2 linked regions of the Lytechinus pictus genome follow. The protein of the gene in region 1 binds, or shares a complex with, the protein of each later gene. Links are inferred from orthologs where the notes say so. Each region holds a gene or a part of one and is shown in the gene's direction. Other genes may lie near its edges.

Region 1 (3,758 bases):
AGCGCGCAGCGCTAGCTAATACGTTTTGACAATCAGACCTGAAAAGGGATATTGCTTTATGGAATCGAAGAGGATATGTACTTGACAAATCAAATAATGCGAGCGCGCAGCGCGAGCTGAAAATGTTAATATTCAGACCGTATAAACCGACATTTTACAAAGCACTTTTTTCAAATTAATTTGTAAATCAAACAAAATAATGAAAGTTTGATGTCCGAGTTGAAATATGTTTTTATATATTGACTTCAAACTTTATATTTTAAGCCCTATATCAGCCCATTTAGCAAGATTTGTATCTTCGATCAGGCAATGCGAGTGCGAAGCGAGAGCGAAAATTTTTTAAAGTGACAATGAAGATTTTCCAAGTCTTCCCCTCATCTTATTTCATTCACTGGTCTTCCTCCTCTTATTTTCTTTTCCCCTCTCTTTTACCCCCTTTATATACCCTTTCCCCCCTTTTTTTTTCTTTCTCCTTTTTTTTTTCCCCTGGTATTTGATTATACAAAAATTCACCTATACTGTAATACGCATATACATAGAATGCTATTTTTATCTCTCGCTGTGGTTGCCTTCGTTCACATAAATCTGCAGACAATCTTAAAATAGATGTGTAGCAATGTAGCATAGTTTCGAAAGCAAACAAATGCAATTAGTGAGATGACCGAAAAATATCTAGGCCTTCTGGAAGACAATCATGAATATAAGACAAATATAGACTAGGTCTACACCCCCGTCTCTTCATAGATTGATTAATTGATAATGATCAATTATTACTAATAAAACAATTTTCATCAGAAAAGTATTTTTATATGCCATAACAAAATGTGGTTTATTTGCTCGCTCACAAATATATCATTTATTTTCATTAAAACTTCATTCCCACTAGGTCATGGTGAATAAATGGTCTATTTAGTGTGCACGAGGGGAATGGGTTAGAGAGTTCACAACATGCAGAATAATTTTCGGCACCAGCGATAATGAATTGTGAGCAAATTAAGGACAAACATCGCTATTTACACCCTCTATCTAAACATCCTCACAACTCTCCGGTCAAAATCTTTTGAAAAAAAAAAAAACATTTCCACATTTTCTCGAATTCCAACTAAAGATGGCGTTAGAGCATAGCGTAATTTTTGAAAAGCTAGGGGGGCGCTTTTCGTACCTTCGAAAAGATGTCTGAAAATGAGCGGAGGGTAGCCCGTCGAGTGCGTATCAGGACAGTACAATCGTCAAAATTTGGCTTCGAATATCTCGTTAAATGCGTAACTTTTTGCACCATTGTCTTCTGGAATATATCAAGCAGAGTCTGGACTATCATACTGTGAATTTTCATGACGCGCTTTGGACGAATTCATGGTTTAAATTAAGCAAGGCATTGTTCGTGCGTCTTTGTTCGGACAGATATTTTCGAAAAGCCTTGCTATGTGCTGTATGTATGAGAGCACAAGTGATTTGAGCTAAGCTGTGTGTTCAACGGGACATAACCGTGTCTTCTCCGCTCCCCGCCTACAACACTGCATATAGCATGGAGCGTGCGTACAACTGGCTCAGCTCAGCAGCCGATTGCAGCTAGAACAGGTCGGTAATGTGATAAGTTAGCTTTCGATTTGTACCTTGCTCAGTCCGGATTTAGCTTTTTTTTTTTACCCCAACATACGTCATTTAAATACTTTGGGGGAAATTTTAGTCATGAAAGTGCTATGAAATTCTATTTTAAAGAGGTGGGCCCATTTTTACAGGGCGTGCACAATTTTTTTTCGAGTTCGTCACGTTGGGCATGAGCATGAATATTCATGAGTCACTAAAACATTTGAACGAGCGCGGCTAGCTTGCTAGAAAGATCTCTATCAAGCCGGATATGTCTCCTTTGTTATGTACTTGTATTTTGTAGTTCAGTATGCTATCTTTCTTGTGTCTTGGAAGTTGGAACTTTGGAAGGTCCAATGAAATTGTATTTTCAAATAAAGCAAAGGAAACTATTTTGTAGAGATTTTTACTCGCACTATTCATCTGGGCACTTGACAAGCACAACGAGTACGATAATATGCCAAGGCCATAGGAAGAAGAACTATGCTTGTTGAGAGAATGAATGTGTAACTGTAAAATGTGACGTGTGTCTGTCAATACTTTTGCATTTTTTAAAATATGAAATGAAGACTGAAAATGAAGTTGATATTCTTCTGTCTAACTTTGACTTGAGTTTGATTGAGTCTTATTTTAATCATTATTTTAAAATACAAGTTTGTGAAAAGGGTAGAATCTACAGTCTTAGATCCAAGTCTATTTATGGTGGTCAAAACTACTGTACATGTACCTGTACTACCTGTAGCCACTTCCTTGATCACTGCAACCACTCTGCCTTAGCTGTTACTAGTGTTAGCTGTGGGGAATTGGAAACTACATACAGAGACCTACATGTATGCAGTAGACCTCTACAAACACATTAAAAAAAAATCATTAAAATATCACTTTTGAAACCAATGATACTGATTTCAATACAGTTGCAATTTATTTTTTATTAGTAACTTCGGGATTATTTTTGTATTCACCAGAGCGCTCAAAAACTTGAATTTTGGGCATATTTTTGTGTAGGCCCTCTATTGGTGGAAAGTAAAATTGCAAGAAAATTGTCATTCAACAATCTATTTTTAATTTAGAAAAAATAATAATTGAAATCATTTAAGTTGCCTAAGAGCCAAGTTATATGGTGAATAGATCTAGTTGTAATGGAGGAAACTGACAATAAAATCAAGCATTTGTCCCAAAGAAGAAGAGAAAATTACGCCAAACATTGCCAACGTTATTTCCCCCACCCAGTGACTACATGTATCATAACCTTGTTCATTAGATGAGTGCCTGTAGCCTACTTCTTAAAGTTCATGTCTACCCAAAGTGTAATACTGTGTTTTAGGGGCCTGCCAATGATGATCACTTTTTCCATTTTATAATGTGGTACTTTTTATGGTAGTGATTTCATGATACAAAATCAGATTAAAGAAAAAAAAAAGGAATTGATATTTCATATTAATTAATTATTTACATGTAGAGTACAAACTTAAAAAATAGTGCATTGCATATGGTCGCATGTCATAAGGTGGTCCAATTTCGCGAACAGGGTAAAAATGGTCCAAAAAATTATTTTTTGGATGTTACAGGTATTACCATTCTTAGTGAAAAAGTGTTAAGTCTCAAATACCTTTTTTTTTCTTAAAATGACTAATTAACAACTAATTATTACATAGACCTCAATGTAACAGGGCCCTGTCCACGTAGGATTATATTATTGTTACTGGGGGTGCTGAGCATTGTCACAGCACCACCAGTAACAATAGATAATCCTCTGTGGAAAGGGTTTATGCAATGTAAATATGAATTTTGAAATGTGTTTGGTGTCAAAAGTTAATGCAACATTGGATCACCCTAGTATTTAGCAGTATTAATCTTGTAACATCAATAATTAAATCTGTAACAAAAAATGAATAATTATCTGTTATTGTATGCATATTAAAGGTCAAGTCCACCACAGGAAAATGTTTTTATTTTATTAGAATAAATAGAGAAAAGTCAAACTACATGTACTGTAGCATAACACTGACAATTTCATCAAAATCGGATGTAAAATAACAAAGCTATGACATTTTTAAGTTTCGCTTATTAAAAAAAAACACCCATGCATAACTCAGTGACATGCAAATGAGACAGTTGATGATGTCCCTCACTCACTATTTGTTTGGTTTTTTTTATTGTTTGAATTATAC
Region 2 (3,758 bases), on another chromosome or scaffold:
AAGGTTACCAATCTTCATCTTCATAGCAATTATGTATGTATGGATTGATTGATTGATTGATTGATTGATTGACTGATTGATTTTATTTGTCAAGAATATCACAGGTAATATGAGATACAATGAATTATAAGAATCCCGTGACACGAAAGCCGCCTTATTTCCAATGGGGTCCTATTGATAGTAAACAGTAATATATTGTAACAACAAAATGTATAAACCACAAGTACTGGAACATGGCGGTAAGGATATATCCATCGATCAAATAATTTGCAAAAACCTGAAGAACAATAATCTACCTTATATGAAACAAGGTTATATTTTAACATATATCCTATATAGGCCTATTATTTATACTAGAAACCAACTGTACAATTAAGGACCCCCCAAAAAATAAAAATAAAAGAATACTTTGATTTTTTTTCCAGAACCATTTCGTGTGTTAAGTCTTTAGTATGAAAACCCCTTTTTTAGCAGAATTTTTCTGTGTGGTAGGCCTATAACCTTGAACTGATTGCAAGGCTCCGTAACACAAAGCTTAGCGATGAATGGCAAATATGAAAGAATTCTTTCATATGATGAAAGAATACTTTTATATCCTGGTCAGTATCGGAACCAAATGCGTGTGTAACATTGATCTTGATTGGTCAGTCCATTTAGCGATTGATCGCTAATCTTTGCTATGTGTCTTGTCTGATAATCTATACCTCACAACAAATAAAGTCTCTTTCACTTTTTGAAAAAATTGCTAGGTCTCTTTATCATTCCTGACCGAGGCAAAAGTTATTGATAATATTATTTGAGAGTGATTTGACTAATTATCTACTATCAATAAGCACTCGATTCTTCATTTATTAGAGTTTGATATGCTTCTTCTTGTCTTGTCCCATTTGAAACCTGCGCATTATACCCTTTTTAAACCCGTCTTCTAAAAAAGCTCATTTTTCTCTATCAGATCATCAGAGTAGCTCGTTTTTCCATCATTGTGTTGCTTCCCTCTACGTTCGTTATTATTATATTCGCGTATAAATTGATTGATTGATGATGATCGGACTTTGCCCAGATGCGGAATTTTTAAGGTCGAGAGAAAAATGTCGTCCAAAAGTGCGCAGCAGGCGTCAGATACGAGAACAGAATTAGCGGAATTGGTGAAGAGAAGATCAGAAATAGCTGTAAGTATCATGACATCCTATACCGTTAAGTAAAATACGGTAATTAGATGTCAGATTAATGAGTTTCGACAGATTGCCGTACGGAAAAGTGCGAACATCTGGCCCTGCGCTGCTTGACCGACGGTATACCGGCACATGCGAAGTTTACGCGAACATATCTAATGGGATTTTCACAATAATGTGATATTTTTACTTAAAATGCACAAAGCTAATTCCCGTCCCCGTATAGATCTACATCATTGAATCAAATAATATATTTACGCAGTACAATTGTCAAATGTTGAATACATTGGTGTTTTTTTGAATAAATTTATTGATTTAATCATATCATTATGATCAGATGAGAGATAATCAAACACAGTCAATCAATGACAATGTTTCTTAAATGACAAACGTCCACTACACTACAGCCTACAGGATGAATACCAGGCCTGGTGAATCACAAATAGTGTATTTACAAAGAATAACGATGTACACATTTTGCCAAGATCAGCTTTCTTTTTTTATGATATCGGCTTTTGATCGCACCCCTCGGCCCTCTTCGCATGTGAAATATGTTTGTCACTTGAAAATGGTATTACCGACTCTGTGTTTTCTGTGGGAAAAGTTTGAAACTTCACAAAATCACCTAGTTCAACCATATTTTGTTATTTTGAGAATAAATGAAGTGTGTTTTTGGCTTTTATAATTTTGTTCATCATTTTTTCTAGTTGAATTCCCTGGCTTTGGAAGGATGTTGCAAAGTTTTGAGAATATATGGAAATTATTTTCTGATGCGTAAATTCATGTGTTCGGTAATTACAAGGCCAATCCGTAAAACAATCACTCACTTTACTGACTTTAACTTCAATGAAAGGGGTAGGTATTGTCTTTAAAAAAAAAAATTAACTTGAATATCCTATGTACAGGAGACACTTGCAAATCTTGAAAGACAAATCTATGCATTTGAAGGCAGCTACCTGGAAGACACAGCTTTGTATGGCAACATTATAAGAGGATGGGACAGATATCTAACAAATAAGTAAGTAGGAAATAGGAATATTGTTTGTTGTTTACATATGTATTTGGTTATCACTTGGATGAATGGTTTTTCAGATATGGGTGATTTTAGGGCCGAGTCGAAGTGGGCAATTTCTTCCAGACCGATGGACTGCTAAAATAAAAAATATAAGAAATTTAGTGTCACCAAAGACTGAGAATAGCAACCATTTTCAGGCCTTCATCTAGATTTATACCGTATATCGAAAATTACACATGATACTATATATCTAAACAATAAATCAACCCAGTAACGCTATGAAAATAGTAGCACTGAGCAGGATTTCTCAATTTTCTTGCTTGAATTCATCGGCACGAAACCTTATAATCCCTGTGGCATGGATGCATCCATTTTGTTCTGTTTGCAATTTCTAGCAGGGGGCACAAGTGCTACTCCACAGCAATTTTCAGCACCGGGTAACTAAGAGTTGCAAACAAACAAAACAACAGAACAAAATAGCTCATTAGCATCTCTCTTTTTTTTTTGGTTAAAATTTTTCATTAATCTCTAAATGCAAGTGTATTCAGGTTTACAGTTGAGTTTCTGCGCATATCGTTTCTGGTACGCCTCAGAATGTATTGTTTTTACTCAGCAATATGTTACCAATTCAGTAAGTATTTGGTCTTGAATTCAAGAAAAGATTCAATTCTTACAATTAATGTTGGTTTAATGATGATTGAAATATAAGAGATAATATATGAAATATAAGAGAATATGCGAGTAACATTTTATTATTTGCAGGAGTACCAATAGTAAGACAGACAAACGAAACAGAAAGTTCAAGGAAGCTGACAGACTGTTTTCTAAATCAAGTATTACATCTCAAGTAAGTGTTCTAGGGGAAACCAGTCTTTAACAAATATTGAAAGAAACCGGGCCAGGAATGGGAAAGTAATGGCTGTTTAAAACTTTGAAATATGAGATTACTAAGACTACATTAATTTCAAATTGGCAATTCTGTGTGTTGTGTTAAAATGTCATACTGAGTCAAACTTGAAAAAATACATTTTAGTCATCACAGTGACATCACTTTTCTAGCCATTTTGTAGTCTAGGTGTAGAGATTTCAACTTTTTACATAGATCTTTTAAAAATTCATAAATGAAGGGTGAAATTCCATGATATATGCATATTTAATACTTTGTCAACCAAAATGGAAATGACATATATTCATGTTTGATTTATATTTCAACATGAGACTGAGATGTAGGGTAAAGGGCAATTGCTTTAATTGCCTTAATACACAATATGTCATTTTTTCAATAGTTTTCTTAGTATAATAGTTTTATGTCATAGGCAGATGTTCATACTATATTTGATTACTGCCCTGAGTAAAAAAAAAAAATGTTCGTAGAAGAAACAAGTATTAGTACATGGCAAATTTGTTTAAATTGGTTTAGAAATGAGCTATATACAAATATTGAGTCTTGTAAATTGGTCTCGTACAAAAATAAAGGACTGATGATATTTCCATTCAGGCAAATAAGCCTGTGATCAATGTGGGCATTCTTTACAGAAAGTTCTTGACAGATATCATTGGAGTGTTGCATA

The links. The genes of interacting proteins can lie anywhere in the genome.
Region 2: peregrin-like (region 1) and chromatin modification-related protein MEAF6-like share a complex: the UniProt entries of both Drosophila melanogaster proteins name them as parts of the enok complex. The link is inferred for Lytechinus pictus from reciprocal best matches to the Drosophila melanogaster genes Br140 and Eaf6.

The regions. Positions count from the first base shown.
Region 1 is NC_087247.1:47,613,638-47,617,395, forward strand, and holds the start of peregrin-like, read left to right. Parts: upstream 1-1,144; 5' UTR 1,145-1,578; intron 1,579-3,758. UniProt on the Drosophila melanogaster protein: Scaffold subunit of the histone acetyltransferase (HAT) Enok complex which has histone H3 acetyltransferase activity.
Region 2 is NC_087246.1:18,104,975-18,108,732, reverse strand, and holds the start of chromatin modification-related protein MEAF6-like, read left to right. Parts: upstream 1-937; 5' UTR 938-1,088; coding exon 1,089-1,169; intron 1,170-2,077; coding exon 2,078-2,190; intron 2,191-2,949; coding exon 2,950-3,034; intron 3,035-3,758. UniProt on the Drosophila melanogaster protein: Component of the Enok complex which has a histone H3 acetyltransferase activity. Might be involved in transcriptional activation of selected genes.